Linked DNA regions of Sus scrofa. The protein of the gene in region 3 purifies or fractionates together with the protein of the main gene of each other region. This does not show direct contact. Links are inferred from orthologs where the notes say so. Each region holds a gene or a part of one and is shown on either strand. Other genes may lie near its edges.

What was found.
Region 1: the proteins of RFWD2 (region 3) and STK40 purify together in Homo sapiens (affinity purification with mass spectrometry; 3 studies listed by BioGRID and IntAct, counting the BioPlex papers as one, with this or other methods). This does not show direct contact. The link is inferred for Sus scrofa from reciprocal best matches to the Homo sapiens genes COP1 and STK40.
Region 2: the proteins of RFWD2 (region 3) and CUL4B purify together in Homo sapiens (affinity purification with western blotting; 4 studies listed by BioGRID and IntAct, with this or other methods). This does not show direct contact. The link is inferred for Sus scrofa from reciprocal best matches to the Homo sapiens genes COP1 and CUL4B.
Region 4: the proteins of RFWD2 (region 3) and MVP purify together in Homo sapiens (affinity purification with mass spectrometry; 3 studies listed by BioGRID and IntAct, with this or other methods). This does not show direct contact. The link is inferred for Sus scrofa from reciprocal best matches to the Homo sapiens genes COP1 and MVP.
Region 5: the proteins of RFWD2 (region 3) and ETV1 purify together in Homo sapiens (affinity purification with mass spectrometry; 4 studies listed by BioGRID and IntAct, counting the BioPlex papers as one, with this or other methods). This does not show direct contact. The link is inferred for Sus scrofa from reciprocal best matches to the Homo sapiens genes COP1 and ETV1.
Region 6: the proteins of RFWD2 (region 3) and ETS2 purify together in Homo sapiens (affinity purification with western blotting; 3 studies listed by BioGRID and IntAct, with this or other methods). This does not show direct contact. The link is inferred for Sus scrofa from reciprocal best matches to the Homo sapiens genes COP1 and ETS2.
Region 7: the proteins of RFWD2 (region 3) and RBX1 purify together in Homo sapiens (affinity purification with western blotting; 3 studies listed by BioGRID, with this or other methods). This does not show direct contact. The link is inferred for Sus scrofa from reciprocal best matches to the Homo sapiens genes COP1 and RBX1.

Annotation. Positions count from the first base shown.
Region 1 is NC_010448.4:92,446,364-92,449,863, forward strand, and holds part of STK40 (serine/threonine-protein kinase 40), read right to left. Parts: intron 3,394-3,500; coding exon 3,278-3,393; intron 1-3,277. UniProt on the Homo sapiens protein: May be a negative regulator of NF-kappa-B and p53-mediated gene transcription.
Region 2 is NC_010461.5:98,682,083-98,685,582, reverse strand, and holds part of CUL4B (cullin-4B), read left to right. Parts: intron 1-1,746; coding exon 1,747-1,851; intron 1,852-2,483; coding exon 2,484-2,594; intron 2,595-3,053; coding exon 3,054-3,145; intron 3,146-3,500.
Region 3 is NC_010451.4:118,016,769-118,020,268, reverse strand, and holds part of RFWD2 (E3 ubiquitin-protein ligase RFWD2), read left to right. Parts: intron 1-1,319; coding exon 1,320-1,434; intron 1,435-3,500. UniProt on the Homo sapiens protein: E3 ubiquitin-protein ligase that mediates ubiquitination and subsequent proteasomal degradation of target proteins.
Region 4 is NC_010445.4:18,070,048-18,073,547, forward strand, and holds part of MVP (major vault protein), read left to right. Parts: intron 1-42; coding exon 43-174; intron 175-1,085; coding exon 1,086-1,180; intron 1,181-1,442; coding exon 1,443-1,679; intron 1,680-3,500. UniProt on the Homo sapiens protein: Required for normal vault structure. Vaults are multi-subunit structures that may act as scaffolds for proteins involved in signal transduction. Vaults may also play a role in nucleo-cytoplasmic transport.
Region 5 is NC_010451.4:83,324,043-83,327,542, reverse strand, and holds part of ETV1 (ETS translocation variant 1), read left to right. Parts: intron 1-1,888; coding exon 1,889-2,110; 3' UTR 2,111-3,500. UniProt on the Homo sapiens protein: Transcriptional activator that binds to DNA sequences containing the consensus pentanucleotide 5'-CGGA[AT]-3'. Required for olfactory dopaminergic neuron differentiation; may directly activate expression of tyrosine hydroxylase (TH).
Region 6 is NC_010455.5:202,463,140-202,467,140, forward strand, and holds the start of ETS2 (protein C-ets-2), read left to right. Parts: upstream 1-1,201; 5' UTR 1,202-1,429; intron 1,430-1,632; exon of another isoform or gene 1,633-1,651; intron 1,652-4,001. UniProt on the Homo sapiens protein: Transcription factor activating transcription. Binds specifically the DNA GGAA/T core motif (Ets-binding site or EBS) in gene promoters and stimulates transcription.
Region 7 is NC_010447.5:7,512,065-7,516,283, forward strand, and holds the start of RBX1 (E3 ubiquitin-protein ligase RBX1), read right to left. Parts: upstream 2,801-4,219; 5' UTR 2,226-2,800; coding exon 2,156-2,225; intron 1,715-2,155; coding exon 1,671-1,714; intron 1,244-1,670; coding exon 1,165-1,243; intron 1-1,164. UniProt on the Homo sapiens protein: E3 ubiquitin ligase component of multiple cullin-RING-based E3 ubiquitin-protein ligase (CRLs) complexes which mediate the ubiquitination and subsequent proteasomal degradation of target proteins, including proteins involved in cell cycle progression, signal transduction, transcription and transcription-coupled nucleotide excision repair.

The DNA.
Region 1 (3,500 bases), on a different chromosome or scaffold from region 3:
CTTGGCTGTGAAACAGAGAGGAGCAGGCATTTAATGGAGCACCTACTCGTGAGAGAGCTGCAAGAATCACTCTTCATTAAATCTATGACTCCATGATTTAGATATTTTCTATTTTTCCAAAGAGTACAATGAGGCACAAGGATGTCACTTGTCCAAGGTCACGGCTGACTGCAAAAGCCCTGATCTCCAATTTTTAGGACAATCCATCCATCCACACCCATGACGGCAGAGCTTCTCCCACATGTCAGCTGCTGCCTGACCTGCTCCAAATGTGAAACAGGAGAATAACTCAAGCCTTTCAGAAGCTCTTGCCACCCAGACTGTGGGACAGTGTGTCACCTGGTATGCCAGCAGGCCCAAGGCAGCCCAGACCCCTGAACACCACGCAACTCCTAGGGGTGTGTAAGGGGCGCTGCCAGGCGCCTCAGTGTCATCTCCCCGCATGCCAGGGAGTGCCCAGCTCACCTCCATCCCTTCTCTGGTGGCTGGAGAGGTCTTTGGGGTGGGGGGCACTGGTGCTGAAGGTCTCACGAGGACCACTGAAGGTCAGGAGGTTTAACAGGGTGGGCGTGTGCTCATGTGCACACCAGTGTTGTCACAGGGTTCGGCCTGCCCTTTGGGGGCCCCACGGACCTCCTTCTCCGAGCCAGCTCCTTCATCTGTGGACGGGATGACACTGACACTGGCCTCACAGCTCACTACTGTGGGCTGTACACTTCTGCCCAACCCGGGACAACAGGCAGGTCTTGGAGCCAAGCCTCTCGCCTGGTTTCCCTGGGGCTGCAAGGCCCCCAGCCCTTTCCAAACCTTAATGCCAAAGAGAAGCCTGGGTGACCTTGTGTCCTGACCCCAAGGCCAACTCGGGGGCAGTCCCTTTTTCCCCGAGCAGGGTCACCAACACAAGTCCACTGGGCCAGTCCTCTCAGCTCTGCATGGCTCCACAAAGTGCAGTGTGTCCCTGGCAGCAGCTAGAAGGTGAGGTGGTTCCTGTCAAGAGGCCTGAACTGCAGGCCAAGGAGGAACGAGCACTGCTGCCAGGTCAGCCTGAGCCAAGACCTGCCACATCGGCCCTGACCCCGGGGGCGGTAAACGGCCTAGCAGACAAGCTCTCCTGGGAGCCCCAACCATCTGCTGACCTTCCCTGCAGCTTTGGCTTTTGAGGAAACACAGAATTTCAGGCTCTCCTTTGCATAATGACAATGCCAGCTAATGCTTATTGAGCCAGGCACTAGGTTAAGGCCTTACTTAATCCCACAGGGACCTACTGAAGTGGGGCTATTATCATCCCAATTTTTTGGATGAGAAAAGAGAGGCACAGAGAGGTGGGTAACATTCCCAAGGTCGCGGAGTTATTAAGCAGACTATGAACTGTGAGAGCAAGGCCAGGCCTGCCATGTCAGAGCTTCACCTGGTGCTGAAGTCTGTGCTTGGCACACAGAACCAATGAAATTGCAGACCCAGGATCAGAACCCACTTAAGTCAGCCCACTTCATCGTCTTGACGACGTGGGGAGGCAGGACTATTTTTGTCTTGTAACCCATGAGGAGCCTGAGGCTCAGAGAGGGGGTTGAGGCCAAGTCACACAGCTGGTAATTAGCAAGGCCAGTCCAGAGCCCGGGTCTCTTTCTGATGCAGGGGGTTCCTCTGTTTCATTCTGAGACTGGCACGAGCCTGGAAGAACCAGAGAGGAAGGTGGAGTGACGGCACACAGCAGCTACCCCAGCCTGATGCTGCTGAGGAGGCCCAACCAGAAGTAGCCCGTCCACTCCCAGGCCTGCATGGCTCTGGGCTGAGGGGGGACCTGGTCCAGCCTCCTGGCTCTGTCACCTACAGAGTTTCTTTCAGGACTCTCATGGAGGGTATCCAGGCTGGGCTGGGCCAGGTGGGGAGGGGTACTCAGGGAGTTGGGGTGCACCCTGGCACCCAGATCCTTCTAGCGGAGGCCAGAGTGACTCCAACCAAAACCCCCAGGCTGGGAGAGTGGCACCACTGCCCGCTGCGGTGGTAGCCACGGGAGAGGCCTGGCGTCCCGGCAGAACCCTCAGCCGGGAGAAGGCCTCCAAGAGGACTGCAAATGCCTGGGGCAAGTTACACAGCCTGCTCCCCGGGAAGACACACACCTGGGGAGGAGGTTCTGCCTCTGAGGAGGGAGCGCAAGTGTGAGTGCCAGGGATAACGGGCCCTGGGGACAGCCCCGAGACCCTCGCCTTGGAGGGATGGGAGCAGATGTGAGTCCCTGGTCCCTGGAGGGAAGAGGACGGAGGGACTCCAATATGGCAAAGGACAAGCAAGATAGAAGAGAAAGCCTGAGGAGACAGGTGCATGGGCTTGGGCAGGAGGCAGCCCTGGGACAGAGCCTGTTTTCTGGTTTACTATTAGCTATGATTTTGAACAAGAGGTCTGATCTCTCTGAGCCTCAGTTTTTCTCATCTGTAGAAATTTTACCTCACAGGGCAGCAGTGTGGTTTTAAACAGATGATGCAAGGTATATTCTCAGTAGAGCGCCCGGCACCTCACGGTTGGGTCGGCAGGTACCACGTACACGATTGACTTCTTTTGTGTATTATCTGCCTCAGCCCCACCGCAAAGCCAGCTCGCCATCCACGGAGACAGGATGTTTGTCTGCCTGGTTACTGCTGTATCCAAAGTGTCTACAACAGAGCCTTGTACATGGCAGGCCCTCAGTAAATACCAGCAGAATGAAGAAGTGAATGAACGAACGAAGGAGTGAGGTCTTTGACATGCAAACCTCTTCACGGTAACCCCAGTGAAGACCTGGTCAAGGGCTTCCTTTTGTACTCGAAACAGGCCTCCATCAGGCCTCGTGTGGTTGGACCCCCAGCCACCTCTCTGGCCTCCCCTTGAACTTCCTGAGCAGCGATCTCAGGGGCCATCTGGTGGTTTCTCCAATGTGCAGTGCCACCTCCGCCCAGTCACAGCCCCTAGTAGGTTCCCATTTATTCTCAGGATCTCAGCTCAGAGGCCACTTCCCCAGGGAGGGCCTTTGAGCGCCCATTCTTCACACACAGAGATAAGCGCTTCTTCCTCTCCAAGCGCTCATCTCAGAGAGAATTAGTGATGATTACCAGCTTTTTCTGGCATAAGACCCCAGATTTTGTACCTGGAGGGACAGCACTGGTTTGGGCCACCACTGAAACCCCAGCACCTGGCCCAGGCCCTCCCACAGACACAGTCTGATTCAGATCCTGCTTGTATGAATGGCTGCAGAACCTGGCTGCGTGAGGCTCGGGGCCTCTGCCTGGCACCTTGAACATACCGCTGAGCACGTCTGGACTGATGTAGGCCGGGCTCCCCCTCTGGTCCTTCAGCAGGTCCCCCTCGCTCACAAGATGCTTCCCGAGGCAGAAGTTGGTGATGGTTATCCGATGCGTCCTGGGGAGGGAGGCAGAGGGTGAGCAAACCTCGGTGTCTGTACGCAGCCGCGCCAACCTCGTCCAAAGAGCAAAGGAATCACACCCACAACCTCTTCTGCTCCTGGC
Region 2 (3,500 bases), on a different chromosome or scaffold from region 3:
AGAAAATATTCATGATGTTGATGTCAGAGAGTGTTTTGCCTATGTTTTCTTCTAGGAGTTGGATGGTGTCCTGTCGTATATTTAAGTCTTTCAGCCATTTGGAGTTTATTTTTGTGCGTGGTGTGAGGGTGTGTTCTAGTTTCATTGCTTTGCATGCAGCTGTCCAGGTTTCCCAGCAATGCTTGCTGAATAGACTTTCTTTTTCCCATTTTATGTTCTTGCCTCCCTTGTCAAAGCTTAATTGACCATAGGTGTCAGGGTTTATTTCCGGGTTCTCTATTCTGTTCCATTGGTCTGTCTGTCTGTTTTGGTACCAGTACCACACTGTCTTGATGACTGTGGCTTTGTAGTATTTCTTGAAGTCTGGGAGAGTTATGCCTCCTGCTTGGTTTTTGTTTCTCAGGATTGCTTTGGTGATTCTGGGTCTTTTGTGGTTCCATATAAATGTTTGGATTGTTTGTTCTACTTAGGTGGTGATTTCTAAGACTCTAGATGCAAGGAATAAGTCCTTCAAGCTAAAGAGTACCTCAAAGCCCACATGTCAAACATGATGGTCTTTCTTTGGGACCCTATTTACTTTTATAATAAGTTTTATAGCTGTTTTACAAGCCTGCAGCAATTTAGAGGTGGAGGCAGCTTGCTGTTTCTAGAGGCCTAAACATAGGGCTATAGGAATTAGCACAAAATTTGTGCTGCAGGAAATAGCAAAAATTATAGTTGCTAATGAGAAAGGAATAATGTCTAGGATGAAAACAAACCTAATAATCTGGGCCCATTTAGAGAAAAGGGTATGGTATACTGCAGTGCTTCTCAGTTTTTCTTAACTGGGTACCCCTTAATGTCAATGGGAGAGGTACTCGAGAAGGTTCTTTGCCAAAAGGGTAAAATTTTGTTGGTCTGCCACTTAAAATTTGCAAATTTTGCTTCCTACTCTGTAATGTATCTGGTTTGTTTTAATAGAATACTGGTGTTTATAAGGAGTTCCTACTGTGGTGCACTGCGATTATAGATGAATGGTATAGATGAATGGTATCAGACTGGGTTTTTTATCACTATTTTTTTCTTTTCTTGACTTCAAAACAGCTTTATTTTAATTTTTTTGAGATTTTAAAGTTTGTGTACCTATGTAAAATATGATTTTGGGATTATTTTCATTGTAGATAATTTAATTCTGATAAAAAGTGGGTTAAGAATCTGACTGCAGCAGCTTGGGTTGCTGCAGAGGTGTGGGTTCGATCCCCGGCCTGGCGCAGTGAGTTATGAGATCCAGCGTTGCCATAGCTGCAGTTCAGATTTACTCCCTGGCCCAGGAACTTCCATGTGCTGTGGGTGTGGCTTTAGAAAAAAAAAAAAGAAATAGAAAAAAGTGGTGTTTAAGATTGCCGACCATCAGTATAAAATGGATACTCAAGAAGATGAGCCATGTCTTTCAGGAGCTTTGACAGCCCCAGCACAGAGTATCCCTGCCGGATACCCATTCCCCATTCTAGTAAGCATCAGTATGGTGGAAAGTACATTAGATCTGGAGCCAGAAGATTTGGGTTTGAGTTGACCCTCTGGTATTTATTAGCTCTATGAAATTAAACAAGTCACTTGATCTTGAATTTGGAGACTTTTTAAAAATGCATGTATACCTGTGAAGTGTTGAAAAACTCAGTATATCATACTCCTATTTAGGAATATATAGTGACCAGTACTTCATGGATGCTCATGATCACTAAACAATAAACTTTCTCCCCATTTTAGCTAAGTATGTAGATTCAAAGCTTCGTGCAGGAAACAAAGAAGCTACAGATGAAGAACTTGAGAAAATGTTGGATAAGATTATGATTATATTTAGATTTATCTATGGTATGTATTTTTGTTTTAGTATTTTTCTTTTAAAACAAAACACTCAACAGAGAAACTAGAGAGTATAATCAACCTGGAAGGTATATTTATTTGGGGGTTAGATATTTAAAATTCTATAATATTTCTTGCATTTAATTTATTGGGATACTCAAGGAATATTACTTAATTGCCTTGTGCTTTGACTTTTCTACTATAAAGAACCTTGAGGAGTTCCCTAGTGCCTTAGCAGGTTAAGGAATCGGCATTGTCACTGCTTTAGCTCAGGTCGCTCCTGTGGTTTGGGTTCAGTGCCTGGCCTGGGAACTTCCACATGTGTCTGTTGGGGGTGGGGGAAAAAAACCTTGAATTTTGCTACTCGTTTTAATCTCTAGAGTACTGATTCTAAAGCTAATAGTCGACTAAAGCTTTTCTAAAGAAAAGTTGATTCAGTCTTCATTCTTTACAGCAAAGAGCTTTTGAAATGTCTGGCACAAAAATCTACCTGTAATGTTTCTTGTATTTAGCAGACGTGGGTAAATGTATAAATTTAAATAACTTGGAGAAATGGTGTTATTAAGCACTCTGAAGCAATTTTCTCAGAACCTTTTGTTGAAATATTTACTATGAGAGTTGTGTTTTATTATTTAACATAGGCAAGGATGTTTTTGAGGCCTTCTATAAGAAAGATTTAGCCAAGCGCCTTTTAGTTGGAAAGAGTGCATCTGTAGATGCTGAAAAATCAATGCTGTCCAAACTTAAGCATGGTATGTTTGTCATTCTTTCTGTTCCTTTTCTTCTTTGATGTCTGAGGGGAAATGTTAAGCTTAATTTTTATTCTTTTAGTCAGTTGTCTCTTTTGTCAATCATTGTATGTTTGTATGATGAAAACATAAAGTGAGTAAGCTTATGAGGTTTCCAACCTATTTACACAAACAGAGCTGTTGTGATTTTTTAAAAAAATAAAGCATTGATCTTATTTTTAGCATTTGTATAAAAATTTCCCATTTATCTTATGCCTAAATAGTAGATAAGGTTACTACAGGATTAAAGATTTGATTCTGAATTAGTGGGGCATACACTTTGGGGTAAGGACTTCTTTATTCTTAGGAGTAGTTACAGGTCATATTTCATGCTAAAGTGAATTTTATATTTCATGTTTTTTATTCTAAATTCTTTGTTTTTACCACTTTAAAATACTGTAAATATACAAACATCTTTAATAGAATGTGGAGCTGCTTTCACCAGCAAACTTGAAGGAATGTTTAAAGACATGGAACTTTCTAAAGACATCATGATTCAATTCAAACAGGTAAAAGTGAGTTAAACTCTTAGTTAATTCCTTGAACTTAAAATGTATTTAGTTATCTCCTTGCTGTGGTTTGTACTGAAGAGGATCAATAGAAACATGTATTTGCTGTAAATACTTCATAGCAACCTAGATGATATTCACAGTAGAGGAAAAAAACACCAATGAGGAGTTCCCGTCGTGGCGCAGTGGTTTTCAAATCCAGCTAGGAACCATGAGGTTGCGGGTTCGATCCCTGGCCTTGCTCAGTGGGTTAAGGATCCGGTGTTGCTGTGAGCTGTGGTGTGGGTTGCAGACGCAGCTCGGATCCTGCATTGCTGTGGCTCTGGCGTAGGCCGGTGGCTATGGCTCCCATTGGACCCCT
Region 3 (3,500 bases):
TTAATTATCCTTCTTGACAGAAATAATTTCTATGTCTCTGTCAATGTATGTTTTCAGTTTTGGAAAATTGTCAGCATCAACTCTTCAGATACATTCATTTTGGTTAATTCTTTCAGATTTATCTTTCAATTTACAAATTCTCTTTTTATTCTCCAATTCTAGTACTTGTTCTTTTGTAGGTATTTGTCCCCAAATTAGATTATCCTCTCCTTCTTCCTCTCTCTCTATTTTTTGCAGTTGAATCTGCTTGTCCTTCAATTTAATTCAAGAATTTCCTTCTTTCTCTTTCTACTCTGTTATATCTTGTTTACTGTCACCTCTCTGAGTGCAGTTTACTGTTTGGCTGTTTATCTCTTTGGAATTTGACTCTTTTTCTTGTGATCCAAGCACTTCTTTAAAATATAATTCTTATTGTCTACTCTTAGAAGGAGTTTACTTTAGATAAATGTTTTATCTGTGTTACTACTATTAAGTTACTTTTTAATTAATTCAATGAATATTTAGGTAGTAACTGAAATATTATTTGTTAATTAAGAAGCAACTTAATATTTCTTAATGCATCTTAATACATTTTCAGTTGTGGTATGATTATTGTTAACTTGTGTCATCTCAGGGTCTCATTATATTTCTTATTTCTTCATCTGTTAATGTGCCTCAAGCGTAATAGGTGATAACCAAGCAAAGTAGGTAATAACCATTTGTGGAAGAATTGGCATACCTTTTAGTTAGCATGGAGTTGGTATTATATATTTAGGATCATAGACTTTTGTTCTTTATATGATTTTTATGCCAATGTATTTCAGATTTGTTGTTGCTATCAATATATATATATATGTATGATTTATTCTATTCTAATGTATATGTCAAACTTAGTACATATTAATGGCCCCTTAACCTAATAATATTAAGTACCTATTCTGTACAGTCAAGTGCTGTTCCTCTTATTCAAAAGGTATAGGGCTGCAATATAAGGAGATGAAAAAGTAATTAGTTTTCTCTTGGTAATTGTTTTCTAACAATTACTAAAAATTAAAATTCTCAAAATCCTAAGTTTTAGAATGTCATAATGGATTCTATCTTCATTTAATTTCGAGAATTGAAAGAAGCTTCTTATATTATTCTTATAAAATTGGGCTGTTTTTCCTTTAAAATAAGAATTGGAAAATATGTCTAATCACTATTGAGTTTTTAACAATTTGTAATTATTTTAGTGTGAACTTTTCAAATTACCAAAAATATGCAAGCATTTGGATATTCTGTGATGAAAGACAGTATGAATTATTCTAAGTTACAAGTGTCTTTTCTTGTTATCACCTTAGACAAAGAAACAGCCCTGGTATAACAGCACATTAGCATCAAGACGAAAACGACTCACTGCTCATTTTGAAGACTTAGAGCAATGTTACTTTTCTACAAGGATGTCTCGTATCTCAGGTACACATTCAGGACTTCTTAAGATATCTCAATTCCTATTTCCATATCCATATCTAGCCTCTTATGCTGGATTTATGGAAAGTTCTATTCGTAAAGTAAAAGTGTGCATTTTTGACATTGTGGAAGTTTTTAGACATCTTGGAGAACATTGCTTTTCCATAACTCTTTATTCTTTATTTGGGAATTTTTAATCTTTATATGGCAAGCTGAGTAAACTTAAAAAACAAATCAGCCATGAAGAGGTAGCTAGCAAAAATAAGTTCAATTCAGTTGCCTCCTATTATTCAACATATGTTAAATTCTAAGTATTGTCCTCTGTGCCAAGAATAAAAAAAGAGGAAAGAACTGGTATTGTCAAGGAGTATTGTAAATTTAGTGGGGGAAAGCAACAGGTAAATAAATCTATGTGATATTACATGTTATATAAGTGTGCAGAGGGCCCTAAGGGAATAGAGAAGAATATCTGCTATTATAACAGGGAGTGAAAAAACCAGGCCAAGCTGTAGACAGTGAAATGTAAGAGAGTGATTATGATTACTGTAGGGATTTCAGAGAAGTTGTATTTAGTCAGGGCTAGTATAACCTTAAAAAAGATAATTGGAAGCATACTCAAAGTAGAGGAAATAACTTACAAAAAGATTTGTACGTGATAGCGTATAATATTTTTGTTGCTACAGAAAAGTAGTATATTTCTGTGCCCTTTTGTTCTCTAATCTTTAGCCTTTCTTGGTGTCTTTGCTCACAAAGGAGGTAGGGCCATTTATACCCATCCTCCAGGGTTTTTTTTTTTTTTTTTTTTTTTTTTTTGATGGACTGTAGATGATGCATATAAAATACAATGCTTAGTATAATTTAGATTCTCAATTAATTGATGTCATTCATAGTAGACCTGCTTAAAATGAGGATGACCAAAGGAAAAAGATGTCTGATATTTTTTATTAATTGTTAAAAATTTGGCCTTGGTTTTCTCTTTAATAGGCATGTTTGTATCATGATCTTCACATTGCTTGTCACTTTTGGACAAATTTGCCTCAGGATTGGAGGTGGAGGAAAAAACATATAGATTTGCATAGTATTTTTCCTGTGAAGACTAGGAAGAAGCCAAGCTGTCTCTAAGTGTGTTTGAAATTAATAGTCAGTGGCTTTCCTACAAATAGAAAGCTTCTTTGTATTGTCTGAGAATTAAACCCCTTCTTAAACTTCTCTAATGGTCTGTAGTCTATGGTAGGAAGCTGTTAAATTGAAAGTGGTCTGAGACCTACATTCTGACCGGCAGAAAGTCCACAGTAGCCCTTTCAGATGTTGTTTGTCAGTATGATGTTGAGATACAACCACAGGCGAATGGCAGACATTTTTTTAAAAAAGAGAACGAGGTGGGAGAGAGGTTGGAGTAGGCTATTGATTAATAATTTTTAAATAATGAGCATAATTAATGCTCTGGGAGAGTAAAGATTAAGTGTGAACCAATTTAATTTATTTTGGGGATATAGCTTTATAGGAAGGTAAAGTTAAAACCAGGAGGAAGATTAGATTTTTATTTTTGTAGACAAGGCTGTATTGTACTTAAAACATGTTATCTTTAGTTTTTAGTCATCTCAAACTTAATCAGATATGCACATTGACTACACTAATCATATTACTGAAGTTCCCCCTAGTGTCCTTGACTATAAGGATAAAATTTAAATTTTTACGTAATGGGGTACCTAAGAGTTTGTCCTTTTGTATGTATGTTTTCAAATGAGAATCCAGTCCCCATCCCCAACTTTAAGTTTTAGCTATTAAAATGAGAGACGGAGACTAATAAATTAATGCCTTGATCTCTTAATTGTAATTGAAAAAGAAGCTAAATTATAAAGCATTAGAAGAGAGAAAAGAGACAGTGAAAACGGTTTTACAAACTAATCTGTAATTAGAATAGGAGAGGTGATAGGCCAGCATGTGATGTATGGGTATTGATCATAAACCAACCAACCAAACAAAATCCTACCTTTTCACAACCAGATAAATAAAAGTTAATCCCTATACTTTCAGATACTGAAATAACTATTTTTAGTGTTTTTATAATT
Region 4 (3,500 bases), on a different chromosome or scaffold from region 3:
ATGGCTTCGATCTTCAGCTTCCACGTCGTCTTCCCTTCCCAGGCACGTATGTTCCCCGGAAGGAGGTGGAGGTGGTGCAGATCATTCAGGCCTCCGTCATCAAGCAGAACCAGGCCCTGCGGCTGAAGGCCCGCAAGGAATGCTGGGACCGGGACGGCAAGGAGAGGGTGACAGGTGGGGTTTTGGAGGGGCGCCGATGTGGGTGGGGCAGGCCGTGTGCCCCGACTGCAGGGGAAGTGGGGAAGGTTGGGGAAGCTGCTCGCAGCCTGGAGGAAGTGCTTCCTGGTGTCTCTAATAAGCTGTTGGGGGCTGCCCCCTGCTGCTTCCCCCACCCACCGCCCTCACCCGCCTGTTGCTCCACCCTGGCCCTGATTCTGTGACCACAATCATGTTGACATGGCTTTGCCTTCCTCCTACCCTTGGCTGGGAGCTGGGAGCGGCAGCCGTGTCTCTTCCCACATCAACAGAGCAGGTGTCCACGTACAGGAGCAACGGTGCTTGACAAATGTGATGTATTAACCAAAGTCTTGACAAAGGCCGTGCTTACTCTGCGCCGGGTGTGGTTCAAATGTTTTGCAAATGGTGGTAACTTCCTTATGCTTCCAACCACCCTGAGGCCCCACGATTCCCATCTGCCATATGGCATAGCCACAGCTTGGGCGCTTGGAAGGGCCTTTTTTTTTTTTTTTTTTTAGGTTGGTTTTCTTCTGCCCTCAAAAAAGAAGGAATAGGAGCTCCCGTTGTGGCTCATCAGATTAAGAACCTGACTAGTATCCATGAGGATGTGGGTTTGATCCCTGGCCTTGCTCAGTGGGTTAAGGAGCTGGCGTTGCCCATGGCTGCAACATAGGCCAGCAGCTGCAGTTCCAGTTCAAACCCTAGCCTGGGAACCTCCCTATGCCAGGGGCTCAGTCCTAAAAAGACCAAAAAAAAAAAAATCCTGCCAGGCCTTTGAGCCTGGGAGCAATGACATTTGAAAATGGCCTGTGAGGTCCTGTGGGTCCCCTGTTGTCTAGGCTGCGGGAGGGGGCAGCTGGGGAGCAGGCTGGGTGACCTTTGACCCTTGCCTCTCCGCCCTGGCCCAGGAGAAGAATGGCTGGTCCGCTCCGTGGGTGCCTATCTCCCAGCAGTGTTTGAGGAGGTTCTGGATGTGGTGAATGCTGTGATCCTCACAGAAAAGGTTTGTGCTCTGGGGGTGGGGGGCACCTCGGGGTAGGAGCTTCTCAGGGTGGCAGAGAACAGTGGCAGGTGATGTGAAAAATAGGAGTTAATCCCAGGTCGCCTGACAGTGTTTAGGGAGTCCTCCTGGGTCGGTAGACACTGTCACTCAGACCTGGAGCATTCAGCGGCCAGTGGGGTCCCCAGATCCCCCGAGGAATTGGAAGTGGGTTTCCCCAACCTCCACCCCCACCCCACCAACCGGCCGCGATCCTGCTCTACAGACAGCCCTGCACCTCCGGGCCCGGCAGAACTTCCGAGACTTGCGGGGAGTGGTGCGCCGCACGGGGGAGGAGTGGCTGGTGACTGTGCAGGACACGGAGGCCCACGTGCCAGATGTCTATGAGGAGGTGGTAGGCGTCGTGGCCATCACCACCCTAGGCCCCCACAACTACTGCGTGATCCTCGACCCCGTCGGACCAGATGGCAAGAACCAGCTGGGGCAAAAGCGTGTGGTCAAGGTGAGTGCCAGCGCCCCGGGTTGGGCCTAGGCCCCGGGCCTGCTCCCCGCACCCCCCTCCCGCCCCCAGTCTGCTTTGGAGAACCACCAAGCTTGTTTTGGCTCCCTCTGGACACACTTGGCTCTGTCGCTTGAGACGCCGTGTCACTGATGCTCCGGCAGTTCCCAACCTCGGGTTCCGCACGGCCTCTCCCGGGAGCGCCTCCCTCCAAGCCCAGAACCCGTCTCACCTCCCTCTGTTCCAGAAGCTTAGTCATCCTGAGTAAAACCAGTCTCTCGGCTTCCCCTTTCCCCATCCTCCCCGTTCTCCTGTCTCTGGACTGTGTGTGGGACAGCGGAGGGGGGCAGAGCGTCCCTGGGACGACTGTACATAGTTAAGGCTTCGCGAGCCACGTGGTTTCTGTGGCAACCACTCAGCTTGGCTGTTGTACCATGAAAGCAGCGTAGACAGGCTTGTAAACAAAACAGTGCTGCTGCGTTCCCATAACATGGTATGTGCAAAAACAGGCAGTGGAAGAAGTCCCTTCGTGGTTCAGTGGGTTAAGGGTCTGGCGTTGCCCCAGCTGTAGCACAGGCCGCAGCTGTGTTGTGGGTTCAGTCCCTGGCCCGGGAACTTCCACATGGCCATGGGTGCAGGCCCCCCAACCCCCCGCAAAAAACAAACAAAAAAGGAAAACAGGAGGTGGAAAACAATAGAAACCACCCAAATGTCAATTGATGAATGGATTAAAAATAGGGAGTTCCCGTCGCGGCGCAGTGGTTAACGAATCCGACTAGGAACCACGAGGTTGCGGGTTCGGTCCCTGCCCTTGCTCAGTGGGTTAACGATCCGGCGTTGCCATGAGCTGTGGTGTAGGTTGCAGACTCGGCTCGGATCCTGTGTTGCTGTGGCTCTGGCGTAGGCCAGTGGCTACAGCTCCAATTCGACCCCTAGCCTGGGAACCTCCATATGCCGCGGGAGCGGCCCAAAGAAATAGGAAAAAGACAAAAAAAAAAAAAAAAAAAAAAGGTATATCCATACAGTGGATATCAATCAGAAGAATGATAATCTTTCTGGGGTTAAGGGTGCCCATGTTCTTAAAATAAGGCAAACTTGTAAAAAAAATTAAAAAATGAAGTTCTTGGAGTTCCCATCATGGCTCACTGGTTAACGAACCCGACTAGCATCCATGAGGACTGGGGTTTGATCCCTGGCCTCACTCAGTGGGTTAAGGATCCAGCGTTGCCGTGAGCTGTGGTGTAGGTTGCAGACGCAGCTCGGATCTGGTGTTGCTGCGGCCCTGGCGTAGGCTGGTGGCTACAACTCCGATTGGACCCCTGGCCTGGGATCCTCCATACGCTGTGAGTGCGGCCCTAAAAAGACAAAAAAAAAAAAAAAAAGAAAGAAAACAAGTTCTGAGATGTGCTACAAGATGGGGTAAGCTTGAAAGCATTGTGCTGGGGCAGTAGAAGCCGGACATAAAAGACCACATACTGCCTGATGCCATTTATATGAAATGCCCAGAATAGGTCAATCCATTAAGACACAAAATAGATTACTGGGCGGGATAGGCAGTAACTGCGACTGGGTGTAGGGTTTCTTTTCAGGATGATGATCTGGGATTTGGGGGTAGTGATTTTGGGCAACTCTGCATATACCAGAGCAACTGGATTACAGACTTGCTTTTTATTGTTTTTTTGTCTTTTTAGGGCCGCCCCCGCGGCATATGGAGGTTCTCAGGCTAGGGGTTGAATCGGAGCTACAGCTGCCAGCCTACACCACAGCCACAGCAACTGGATTACTGGATTTGTTTTTTACACATACATATAAAATCAGGCAGCA
Region 5 (3,500 bases), about 35 Mb from region 3:
AGTTATCAAGCCATTTGTAATTAAAACCAATAGCAACAGGTTAGACAAAAAAAGTTCCATTAGCCTACAGCAAATGCCTACTTCTCGGCAGCCGCAAACAAAACAAAGCAGGTTATTAAATGCTCCCAGGTATGCAGGCTCTTTGTTTTACTTTTTTCCTCAAAATTCTTTGAACAAAGAAAAAAAGGGAAACTTGGATTTAGTATCTTTAGCTTTGTTTCTGACATGGCTTATTTTTACTTTTATGGCAGTTTCACCATTTCACCTCTGTGAACTTAATTTCCTTTTTATAAAGGACTAAAGTGAATCAATTTATGCCAGATCCCTCTGTCTGCCATACACTGTGCTAGAGACTTCCATTACAGTCTTGCAATAAGTTTTTAAGGAGCCATTCCTGCCTCCCTTTCAAAAAAAAGGAGAACTGAGGGCATTTTAAGAAACATGTCCAAATTCATAAAAACTAAGTATCGGCTGTTTTTAAGGCTAAGGATATTCAGAGTATTTGGATTCTCTAAATTGGTTCCTCTTGCAGAGTTAAAAAAAAAAAAGAAAATCAAGGCCAGAAAACGTTCTAAATCTGTTTCCATAACAGAAGTGCCCATTGGTAGTTGTTTCTTTTCTTTCCAAACATACACAGATAGTTTATAAGGAACTCACCATCCCCCGCATCACACAGCAACTAGCAGAGGAGTTGATTTTCACTTTCTAAAATTACTGAACTCTACATATACACAAAAAATTGCTACAAAGAACTGTATTTATCCTGCCCCATCCTCCCTCACCCCCCTGAGGTTTGGAGAAGCTCAGCATTGTCTGCTACTGCCAGCAGGGGTGGGGCAATATTTGTGTCACTCAGTTATTTCTAATTTCCTAGAGAAGCATTACTCTTCAAAATTTAAGTTTGGGGCATGTCATTTCCTACAAATTACACTATTTCTCCTTTTATTTCAGGCAGCTGTCATATTTCTTTTTCTTATTTCCTCCCTATGCCTTGTGTATTCTAAATTCACTTTTTTACACCTCTTGCTTCAATTTGACACTTTATACACATCCTTAACTTCTGTCTAATGCATCTTGCTTTCATTTTTTAAAGTGATGTACCCAAGATAATGCTACCCTCCTGATCCATCTTTCATTTAAATAAGGCTATGTATCTTTTTTTTAGCTGAGAATATACAGTGGAAATTTTTTAAAAAGTAAAGAAAAAGAACAGTTCACCCTGTGAATCAGTGAATCGACTAGCCTTATTAGGAACACAATACATTTTTCTTTTATGGTTGGGAAGTTTGGTTTTTCTGCAGTTTTAGAAATGTAATGTTAAGAGGGAGACACTACACTTTAAAGACCTGATTATTTTATCAGGTAATTTAGATATTACCCTTTAAAGCAGAGGGAAAGACATTTCAAAGTGAGATGCCTACATGAAATCATTGGTGTTTTCCCCCAGATAACAATGTAAGTTTACATTTGTATTGAAACAAGCAAACTGATAAGCTTTCTAGCTATATCTGGAATAAATGTAGTTATTACTTGAGCTCAACATTTTGCATTTGCCTGGATTGAACCATTTTACCCTACAAATAGAGGATTTTTTTCCCCCTATGTATCTCTGTTAGTGCTTAGTTACTTTGTTTTGTTAGCCATCCTTTCTGGTGTATTAAACTATGTTTTTGTTCATTTCTTTCCCTGCCCTTCCCCTAGGGATAGTGAATGTGAGGGTTTTTTTTTTTTTTTTTGAAGTATAATTGACATACAACCTTATAGTAGTTTCAGATGCACAACATAATGATTGGATATTTGTATCTATTGCAAAATGCTCACAACACTAAGTCTGGTTCCCAGCCAGCACCTACATAAGGATGGCTTTTCTGTTACATGTTTTCTGCAGGTGGCTGGAGAGAGATATGTCTACAAATTTGTGTGTGACCCCGAAGCCCTCTTCTCCATGGCCTTTCCAGATAATCAGCGCCCGCTGCTGAAGACGGACATGGAGCGTCATATCAATGAAGAGGACACGGTGCCTCTGTCTCACTTTGACGAGAGCATGGCCTACATGCCAGAAGGGGGCTGCTGCAACCCCCATCCCTACAACGAAGGCTACGTGTATTGACAGAAGTGACAGTCAGGGGCCTCCTCGCGCTTTTCCTCTCTTGCAAGATGCAGAGAATCTCTGAATTCTCTTCAATCTTTGTTTGATTTTTGTTGTTTGTATTTTATTTTTAAATAATAATACACAAAAAGGGGCTTTTCCTGTTGCATTATTCTATGGTCTGCCATGGACTGTGCACTTTATTTGAGGGTGGGTGGGAGTGATCTAAACATTTATTCTGTGTAACAGGAAGATAATGGGTGAATGGGAGGGGGGATTTGGGGATTACTTTTTACTTAGGCTTGGGATGGGGTCCTACAGGTTTTAAAGTATGATGAAGCTATATCATGTTTATTTGATTTCATAACAACATAGAAAATGTTCATTTCCTCTGGGTATCTATGGTACAGTTAATTCACATTGTGTAAATATCCACTTGGAGACTATTTGCCTTGGGCATTTTCCCCTGTCTTTTCTGAGTCTCCGCAAGGTATACAAATAAAAAAAAAAAAAAAAAAAAAGAAAAAAAAAAGAAAGAAAACAAAAAACAAACAAAAAAACTACTGTAAAAGGCAGTTTAATTGTTAGAAATGACTGTTTTTGAACCTCTTGTAAAAAGGTATTTAGAGATTGCATTTGCTGTTTTTTTGTTTTGTTTTGCTTTATGTATGACTCACAGAGGATAACCATAAAATGGGGTAATTCTCTCTGAAGTTGAAATAATTAACATGACTGTAAATGAGGGGCACAGTTTTGGACTCTGGCTCCCAACTGAGTCACAGGCCAGTAGCAGTACATGTATCTGGTGCCACCTTGCTGTTTAGATACAAATCATACTGTCGTTTAAATATTTTGAAGCCATTTCAATTAAGTAATGATATTTTTCCTGGTCCTTTGAGATTGTCATTTAAATGTTAAATCTGGGATCACAATGAAGTAAAAAATCTCTGTCTCCTTTCACTTCCTTCAGTACATAAAGACATTATTTAATCAATAAGAATTAACTGTACTAAATCACATAATATGCTGTTCTAGATACAGCAAGCACTCTTTAAGAAAAATATCCAATACACTAAATAGGTACTATAGTAATTTTTAGACATGGTACCCATTGATATGCATTTAAATCTTTTACTGCTGTGTTATGTTGATAACATATATAAATATTAGATAATGCTAATGCTTCTGCTGCTGTCTTTTCTGTAATACTCTCTTTCACGCTGAAATTACTATGACCATTTATAAGCAATGCAGTTAACTACAGGTAGCATTTCAGGACAAAATAGATGACTCGAACCATTTATTGCTTAAAAAGTAGCTTATGCCATGCTATGCTATAAGCAGCTTTTATACACATTGACAAAATGAAGAGTGAGCTTCAGTTTGCTAAGGGGAACTGTGGAAACTTTTG
Region 6 (4,001 bases), on a different chromosome or scaffold from region 3:
TCAGCAGTTAACGAACCTGACTGGCATCCATGAGGGCGCAGGTTCCATCCCTGACCTCGATCAGTGGGTTGAGGATCCGGCATTGCCCTGAGCTGTGGTGTAGGTCATAGACACGGCTCGGATCCAGTGTTGCTGTGGCCCTGGCATAGGCTGGCAGCTACAGCTCCGATTGGACCCCTAGCCTGGGAATCTCCATATGCCGCCGGTGCCGTGAAAAAGAGAGAAAAGACAAATAAATAAATAGATAAATAAATACTGAGAATGTGACCGGAATCTGAATAGGAAATGTGTGCATTTCTAGCCATGGACTCAAGTATCTCCTGCTAAAAATGGAAACTCTGGGGGGGAAGGGTGACGGTTTTGACCATAGTTGGAAGTCAGATAGCCTGGAGTTTCAACCCTGAATTTCCCACTCACACGTCCTATGACTCGGCAAGTTATTTACCCAAAGGGCCCATTCCCTCATGTTTAATGTGAGGACAATTATCCTGAGAATGAGCCCAGGGAAGCTCTTTCAAAGGCTGGTTCCTACTAAGACACCGCTCAACTCTAGGGGGCGCCACTTCCTCGGAGGCGGTAGGAACAGGGCTTCCCGGAGCAGAGGGGCGCTCTGTGACCCAGAAAAGGGCCCACCTTGTACGTCTATCATGTCTTTTAGTGTCTTTTCAGGACAGAAGAGTCAGAAGTCCACGAAGAGGTCCAAGAATTGGGCCAGAAATAGTCCCTTATGACCCAAGCCCTGTGGCCGCTCGGTGGCACCAGCACTGCTCCAGTCCTGCCAGGACAGGTTTTGGTGTTAAAGTCTCCGCACCAGCGGAAGAAACCAAAGAAAGACTCTCCTTCTGAGCTCCCGGGACACACACAGGGCTCGAGTCCTCGGGGTCCCCGGCCCACCACGGCCCCCCGAACCGCAGGCAAGGGACAGAGCCCAGTGACAGCGGGCGCCGAGCGAGGCCGGGCTTGGAAGGACTGGCTCCGCCCCCTGCTCTTCTCCTCCCCCCGCCTCCACTCCGCTCCCCTCCCCTCGGCTTCCCCCCTCCCCTGCTCCCGCCCTCTCGCGACTTTGCTCCCTTCTCCACCCCCACCCCTCCCCTCCCGATCTCCTCCCCTCTCCCCTCCCCTCTCGCCTTTCCCCTCCCCCGCCCCCCTCCTCCCCTCCCCGCGGTCGCCTCCCCTCCCTCCTCCGTCCTCCCCCGGCTCCTGAAGAGCGCGCAGCGAAGGGGACCGGCCAGTTACTTCCTCCAGCGGCGGCGCGGAGCGCGGTATCGCCCCAGCCCTGAGCTCCCGGAGCCCGCCGCCCGCCGCTCCCTGCCGGCTCAGGCCTGCCGAGCGCCCTCCCCGCGTCCCGGCCCCGCCGCCCGCGCCCTCCCCGGCGCGCACCGAGGAGTCCGGGCCCCGAGTCGCCGGCCGCCCTGCCCGAAGCGGCGCGGTAAGAGCAGGGTCGGGCCGGGTGGGCGGCCAGGGTCCGGCAGGTCCGGCGGGGAGCGCCCTCCGGGCCCCGGTTCCTCTGCCGAGGGATCCAGAAACGGCGTGGAGGACGTGGGTGGCGCGGAGAGCCGGATCCCAGGGCGCAGCCGGGGTCCCGGAGGGGTGGCGGCTATTCCTAGGATCCAGGGGTCGCGCTTCTGAGATCCGATCCGCTCAGCTCGTGGTATGGATGGCCCAGTGGCTTTGGGGGCGGCAAGTGGGGCGCGGAGTGGGCCCGGCGATGACGCGCGGAGCCGGCTGCGAACTTGGGCCGCGGTTCTGGGGTCGCCGAGCCGGCTGGGGCGGGCGGGGCGCGCCGACTTGTTTCACTTGCTTTTGTCTTAAAAGGAAACGCGGGCGTGGTGGGGGGCCCTTGCCAGTGGGCGCCTGGGAGACCTGATATCGCGAAGGGGCTGGGGGACGCCGGAGAGGGTGTCGGAGGGGCCCCGGCGCGCCCGGGTTTGTGGGTGACTTACTGGAGGGCGCCGGGCCCGGGCAGATCGGGGTCTAGGGGCGCATGAAACACCTTGGAAGCTACGGATCCCCGAAAACAGGCGGATCCCAACCCCCCGGTCACCTGCTCCGCCACGTCCAGGGCCCGGCCGGGGCGGCGGGCGAGGGAGGCGCCGGGAGGGTCCTGGCGCTCGAGCGAGACCCCCGTGGGCGCCCCAGGTCCTCTATATCTCGGGCCCTCGGTCCTGCTAGGCGAACCTGGGGAGCCAGTCGGAAGTGGGGATGTAGGTGCGCCAAGCTGCCTTTCCCGGTTCTTACAGCATTTTAGATGAAGAGGTAACAGCGATTGTGCGTGTGTGTTTTTTAAAGCACAAGAGATTTTTTTATATTATCCTGTATTCAATTATAGGGTATCCTAAAATAGTAGTTGACGTGCGACTTATTTAGAAAGTAAAGAAGTGAGCCAGTCCCCCCTTTGGATTGAGAGGTAATTTATTTTAATTTACCACTGAGAGATGATGTTTGTTCCGCACAGTGGAAGCGCCTGTGCGCCCTGTGCCTGCCCACACCACCGCCGATCAGAGAGAGAAATCTCCCAGTTAAGGTTTATTAAAATTCTGAATAATATCACAGTACAATAAATGTTAGCGCTCTGGGTCCTGCAGGAAAATAGCTGAACACTCATTTCGGGAATTAGTCATTCCTGACTCTATAAATTGATAACCTTCAAAGGAAAAAGCAAATCAATCTTCGAAAGTGCGTTTTGAGGTTTTCTTTTTCTTTTCTTTTCTCCTCAAATTTACCGAAATACAAACCCGTGTTCTAATCTCGCAGAAGGAATCACTTGTCCCCCGAGGGTACCGTTGGCCGGCAAGTTTTGCTTGTTTAAAAATGTTATCCTTCTCAGCCCTTTCGTGGCTGCCATTTCCCGTTTGTGTTGTTGTAGTTCAAAGGCAACAATCAGGAGGGCACCCCCCCCCCAAAAGACCTAAATGTGAAATTGACTTAGGATGTGGAGAAACTTGGCCTGTCTGCCACCTTGACTGGCCTCGTGGAGTCAAAGACGGGAACTTAAATTTGATTAGTTATGTGTCTGCCAGAAACCATTGGTAGCGCGCTTTGATTCTACATGGTTTTTACAAAACAAATTAAAAGCTGGACAACAAAAGAATTCTATTCTGTAGCTAGTAATTACAGCTCTCTGTGTGGGAGGGGTAGACTGCCTTTCCTCCTGGTGTTTGTACACAAAAACCAGGCGAGGCTTAGTCCATTGCCCTCCACGTCCATTCTCTGCGAAGCTGAAGTGTGGGATAAAACTGGACGAAGAAGATGGATAACTGTCCACATCCTTTCATTCGGCTCCTGTTTGAAGCTTGTGAATGTCATCAGCAGGTGACAGGACGTAGTCGACCCAGATAAATGGCAGAAAGTTCCATGAACCTTAAGGAGCATTTCAGGTAGTAAAGTCTCACGAGCAGGAACCTTGTCTAATGAGACTTGGGTGCCATCGCTGCTTTTTTTTTTTTTTGATGAGCTGGGAGAAGGGCCCCGGCCGCATCCCTCGGGTTAATTGGGCTCCTGGAGGAGCGAAGGAGGGAAGGCCATCACCGGCCTGGGACTGGGTCTGCGCAGTGCCCCTTCGATGCCCCTGCTGTCGCTGCGTCCTCCTGCGCCAGGCACCTGAGGTCTCTGGATCTTTGTTGCCTCGCGGTGAGAGGTTACATCTACCTCTCAGGGCTCAGGCCTTTCAGCCAGCTGGGCTGGTGGGATCGTCCAGCTCAGGCTGAGCCCTTAGCCAGGGCAGCGATCATCCGTAGTGAGTACTGATCTTAAGGGCCTGTGGAGGACACCGTCCGATCCATCAAGGGGAGATTCTAAGCAAACCTGATCCCTTTTGATCCAGGACCATCCCTCCTCCCAACCCCCACCCTCACCCCCCACTCTTATTTATTGTCTAAGCTTCCAGCCTCCACTGGCAACCACGAAAATTCCCCTGCGTTCTGAGGGCTGTAACAGCTGCCCCCAGCGCCTCGGGCCTCCCCGGTGGCTGTCACTGTGCTGTCCTCCTCCCATGGGGCTTG
Region 7 (4,219 bases), on a different chromosome or scaffold from region 3:
GGGGAGAAGAGGCGGTGAATATTCCAGTAGGGGGAACAAGATATGTAAGAGCTCTATACAAGACCACGGATAGTTCCAGAATAGAAGGAAAGCCAGGGTACTACCAGAGTAAGGAGAGTGGCTCGAGATAAAGCTGAAGAGGCACGTATGTGGTTTTCAAAATAAGTTAAAATTTCAATTCTAGAACGTTGAAATTTCTTTGCCCTATTTCTTTCGTGTGTGTGTGTGTGTGTGTGTGTGTGTGTGTGTGTGTGTTTAGAGTCATACCTGTGGCATATGTAAGTTCCCAGGCTAGGGGTCGAACCAGAGCTGTAGCTGCCAGCGCACGCCATAGCCACAGCCACACCAGATCTGAGACACTTCTGTGACCTACACCACAGCTCACGGCAGTGCCAAATCTTTAACCCATTGATCAAGGGCAGAGATCAAACCCCCGTCCTCATGGATACTAGTCGGGTTTGTTGACCACTAAGCCACGACGGGAACTCTTCTTTGTCCTCTTTCTGATCTCAGTAACAAACCATTTTAGTAACTGAATAAAAAGTAACCTCAACTGCTCCTGGTGTGATCAATAATTCTTGCCCCTAGTACTACAGAAATACTAAGTCCATTAACAGCTATAATTAAACCTACTGTGTGCTGACCACTATGTGTAATGGACTATATGGAAATTTAAATGAAATTTTCTTAGAGCAATTAACTACCTATTTAGATGTTGGCAGTGATGTTAACTACATTTGGGGCTAACACTGAAAATGCATACTCCTTAGACCTCTTCATAAATCTTCCCCAGCAAACATTTGCTCTGCTAGGATATTTTAGCTCAAAGTTAATTTTCTTTCTTTCACTATTTTTGCCTTTAAGTCTGGGTGCAAGATGGGAAATGGAGAAGAAATAATCAACAGTACCTCTGTGCCCGCAATTCATTCTAAATGTGGCCTTATCTTTAGATTGAATAGCCTTATTCTGAGAGATGGATATGCCTTCAGGACACCCTAAAAAAATTACTTTATTTCAAACATACCAACACACCAAATGCAGAAGTCCCCAAGTGCTAAGAATATACTTTATCTTTCCTCGTGAAGAAGAAAATTGGTCACATCAGGATAGCTGCAATCTCTGTAACCTTCTCAAACTTCCTCCCATCCTCCTCCAATTACTTACAAAGATCCATAATGTGGTTCCTGCAGATGGCACAGTTATCAACCACAATATCCCAGGCCCAGAGGGCTACTGCATTCCACTGCAAAGAGAAAAAGGGGGAACAATGCATGCTACTCTTTTAACACAAGCGCACACGCGTGCACACACACACACATACACATACACACACACACTCCAGGATTTCATCCTGTAGTTATCACCTTTTTGGCCACAAAGACCACCAAACAAGAGTTTCTGGATGTTACATGACTCTTTTTTTTAAAATTATATCAGAGAGCATCAGTAGGCTACACGTATGCTTACCCATTCTCTAAACTGTCAACTATATAAACACAAATGAATATCATCTTTTATTTTTTCCTACAGTTTAATTTAGTCAGCCATATCAATATAAATAAATCAGGAATAATTTATAAGTGTCGGTTTTAGGTCTAATAATCACAAACTTGAATTACTGTGCAGGTTCTCCTGGCAGTTGCAAAAGAGCTCAATTTCTGCATAAATACCTGCTCTTCAAGGCAGCTTTTACGCAGGAATGGACAGGTGAAGGCTAGGAAGAGAATGAACTAAGATGTTGATTGGATCATAAAACGGGTAATCGTAGGATAAGCTGGATAACTACCCAGTGTGAGTCCATAGAACAAGGTCATCGCTTAAATCTTATAAGATTATTTCACAACAAACTCTAAAATTCACTGGAATTTCGTATAGTTCCTATCATCAAATAAGCTGATGTTCTCAACTTTTATATGCTCAGACTGTTATATTTAGCTAGGATAATTTCCTTAAGAGTTTATCTAAAAGTGGTATTTCAATAATTCAACCTCTGGCTTCTGCAATAAATATTCCCAAACTCCCTTTCACCCCCTAATTTGGTGACACGTCCCAAACCTTCATCTCCTTCAAACCTAATTTTCAATGTCTAGCAACTTCTTCAACACTTTTCACCGACAGCTTCAACTTGGAGGAAAGAAGAAAAAAAAAATCTTACTTCTATTCTTCAATATGGCTGCTGGCTGTAACTGAGCATGCAGTGCCCACAATGAAACGCCAAAACGCATTAGACGGGGGAATACCGTCAGGGTTTAGCTAGATGTTCCAGGGATAAAATCTTCCCTATTTGGAATCTTCATTTTGGACAGATTTGTTTTATCTAATGTGGGATGGGCACTTTTCTCCCAAACTGCTGGCAAATCACTGTAAGGCATTTCATGCAAAAAGACACGTTCCACATTTCTTCTTTCCCACTTTACCAGGTTGTTCGCAACTTGTATTCAACCCTCCCTACTTGAAACAATACTTGGGCTCCGTTTTCTTTTTAACAAATTCCACCATGCCTTTTTTTTTTTTTTTCGGATGGGGATTCTGGATATGACCGCAGGACTGGGGCGGCTGTGTAACAAATCAACAGACCTTTCAGAAGAGCCAAGAGTTACACTCGAGAAACTAACTCGGCAGGGGCGAGGGCCAGAGAGGGCTAATGGAGGCCTCGATTAGGCGAGGACCAGGTCGAGGTTCCTCAGAGGGACCCCAAGCTTTGGATAGGGGCGGGGCACGGAGATCACTAGCCCGGTCCTCAGAAGCCTCCAATGCGGTAGGACCTCAGGTTCCCGGCTTGGGCCGTACTGTCCCATCCTCCACCCACCGCAGCCCTCGACTCCCCCTTCCACCCGCCCCACCCTCGCCTTCCCCACCCCTCCACCACTCCAGTGACAGCTCAGGCGCTTGGCTCCTGCATCCAAGTCGCAACCCCGCGCATCTCAATAAGCACCTCCGTGATTGGCCCCTCAGCCTCCGAGCGAAACCAACACTGGCACTGACAGTGGGCCGCAGTCACGCCGATCAACCCTAAGACCCGCCTCCCGGCTTCCTTTGGTGGTACCCGGTCCCCGGAACGCCCTGAAATGAAGCCCTTTCCTCCGCGCCTTGGTCATCCTGGGCCTGCCAGCCAGATCCGCGCCTCTCTAGTTTCCCTGAGGAAGGCGCTGGCGAGACCCAACCTTTTTCACTTCAAAGCGCTTCTTGCCCGCGCCGCTGTTGGTGCCGCTCGGGGTATCCACATCCATCGCTGCCGCCATTTTGGAAACACACGATCTGTCGTCTCGTTACTGCGCCTGCGCGCCAGCGCACGTCTCACTCCCCCTCCCGTCCGGACACCTCCTCCCGCACCCCACCCCTCACTGGCGCGCGAGGGGCAAGTGGGGGCGGAGCGTGTGGCCACGCCTCTTAAAGGCGCTGGTGCTGGTTCCCCCCGCCCCCCACTCTACCCCGCGTCGGCTGGGAGGAGGCGGTTGCCGGAGCTGCTGGGGCGGGGCCGGGCGGGGCCGGGCCGACGCGAGAGAGCCGGGTGGAAATGTTCGAAAGGACTCGCTCTCATCGCCCTTCCTCGGGAAGCCCCCGGCCTCACTCCCTCCGCAGGGGCGGCGGCTGTTTCCTCCGCCTCGGCCGCGACCTGCAGCCCGCGCACAGCCTATCCTTCCCCGCCGCCGCGCAGCTCCAGTGCCCGCGGGTCCTCGTCGCGTTCTTCCGGGGAAAGGGCGAGGGTGGGCGTCCCGCCTCCTGCTGCGGAAACCCAAGACCTCACTCTTAGTGGTCTTTCTCAGATCCTGACCCACTTCTGAGCCCGGCCTGAGGTCCTAGCCTCCTTGGGCCATAGCACCTTTCCAGCCAAAGCACCTGTGCTTTCTATCACCTTCCCATTTGTAGACCACCTCTCCACTTTTTTTTCATCTCTAATCTTGCAGAGGTATGACTGCTAGATCACTCTTAAATCTTGTATTGGCTTATTTGAAATCTCGTATCTTCTCTTAAAAGAAAGCTGAAGAGTAATGGATGGTCTTGACTCCACTGTTAAACCAGAAGTAGGGTTTGTTTCCTTGTCTTAATTTTAAACAGGAAAACAAATCTGTGAAAACGCCGCAGCTTTAACCGGAGTAGAGAGAGAAGACTTGTGAGAGACCTTAAAGTTTTAGTAGGAACACTACCAAGTTTTTCTAAGACCAAGTTTTGTTAAATGAATGATTCCATATCAAGAGTTCTGTCATCTAATTTATTG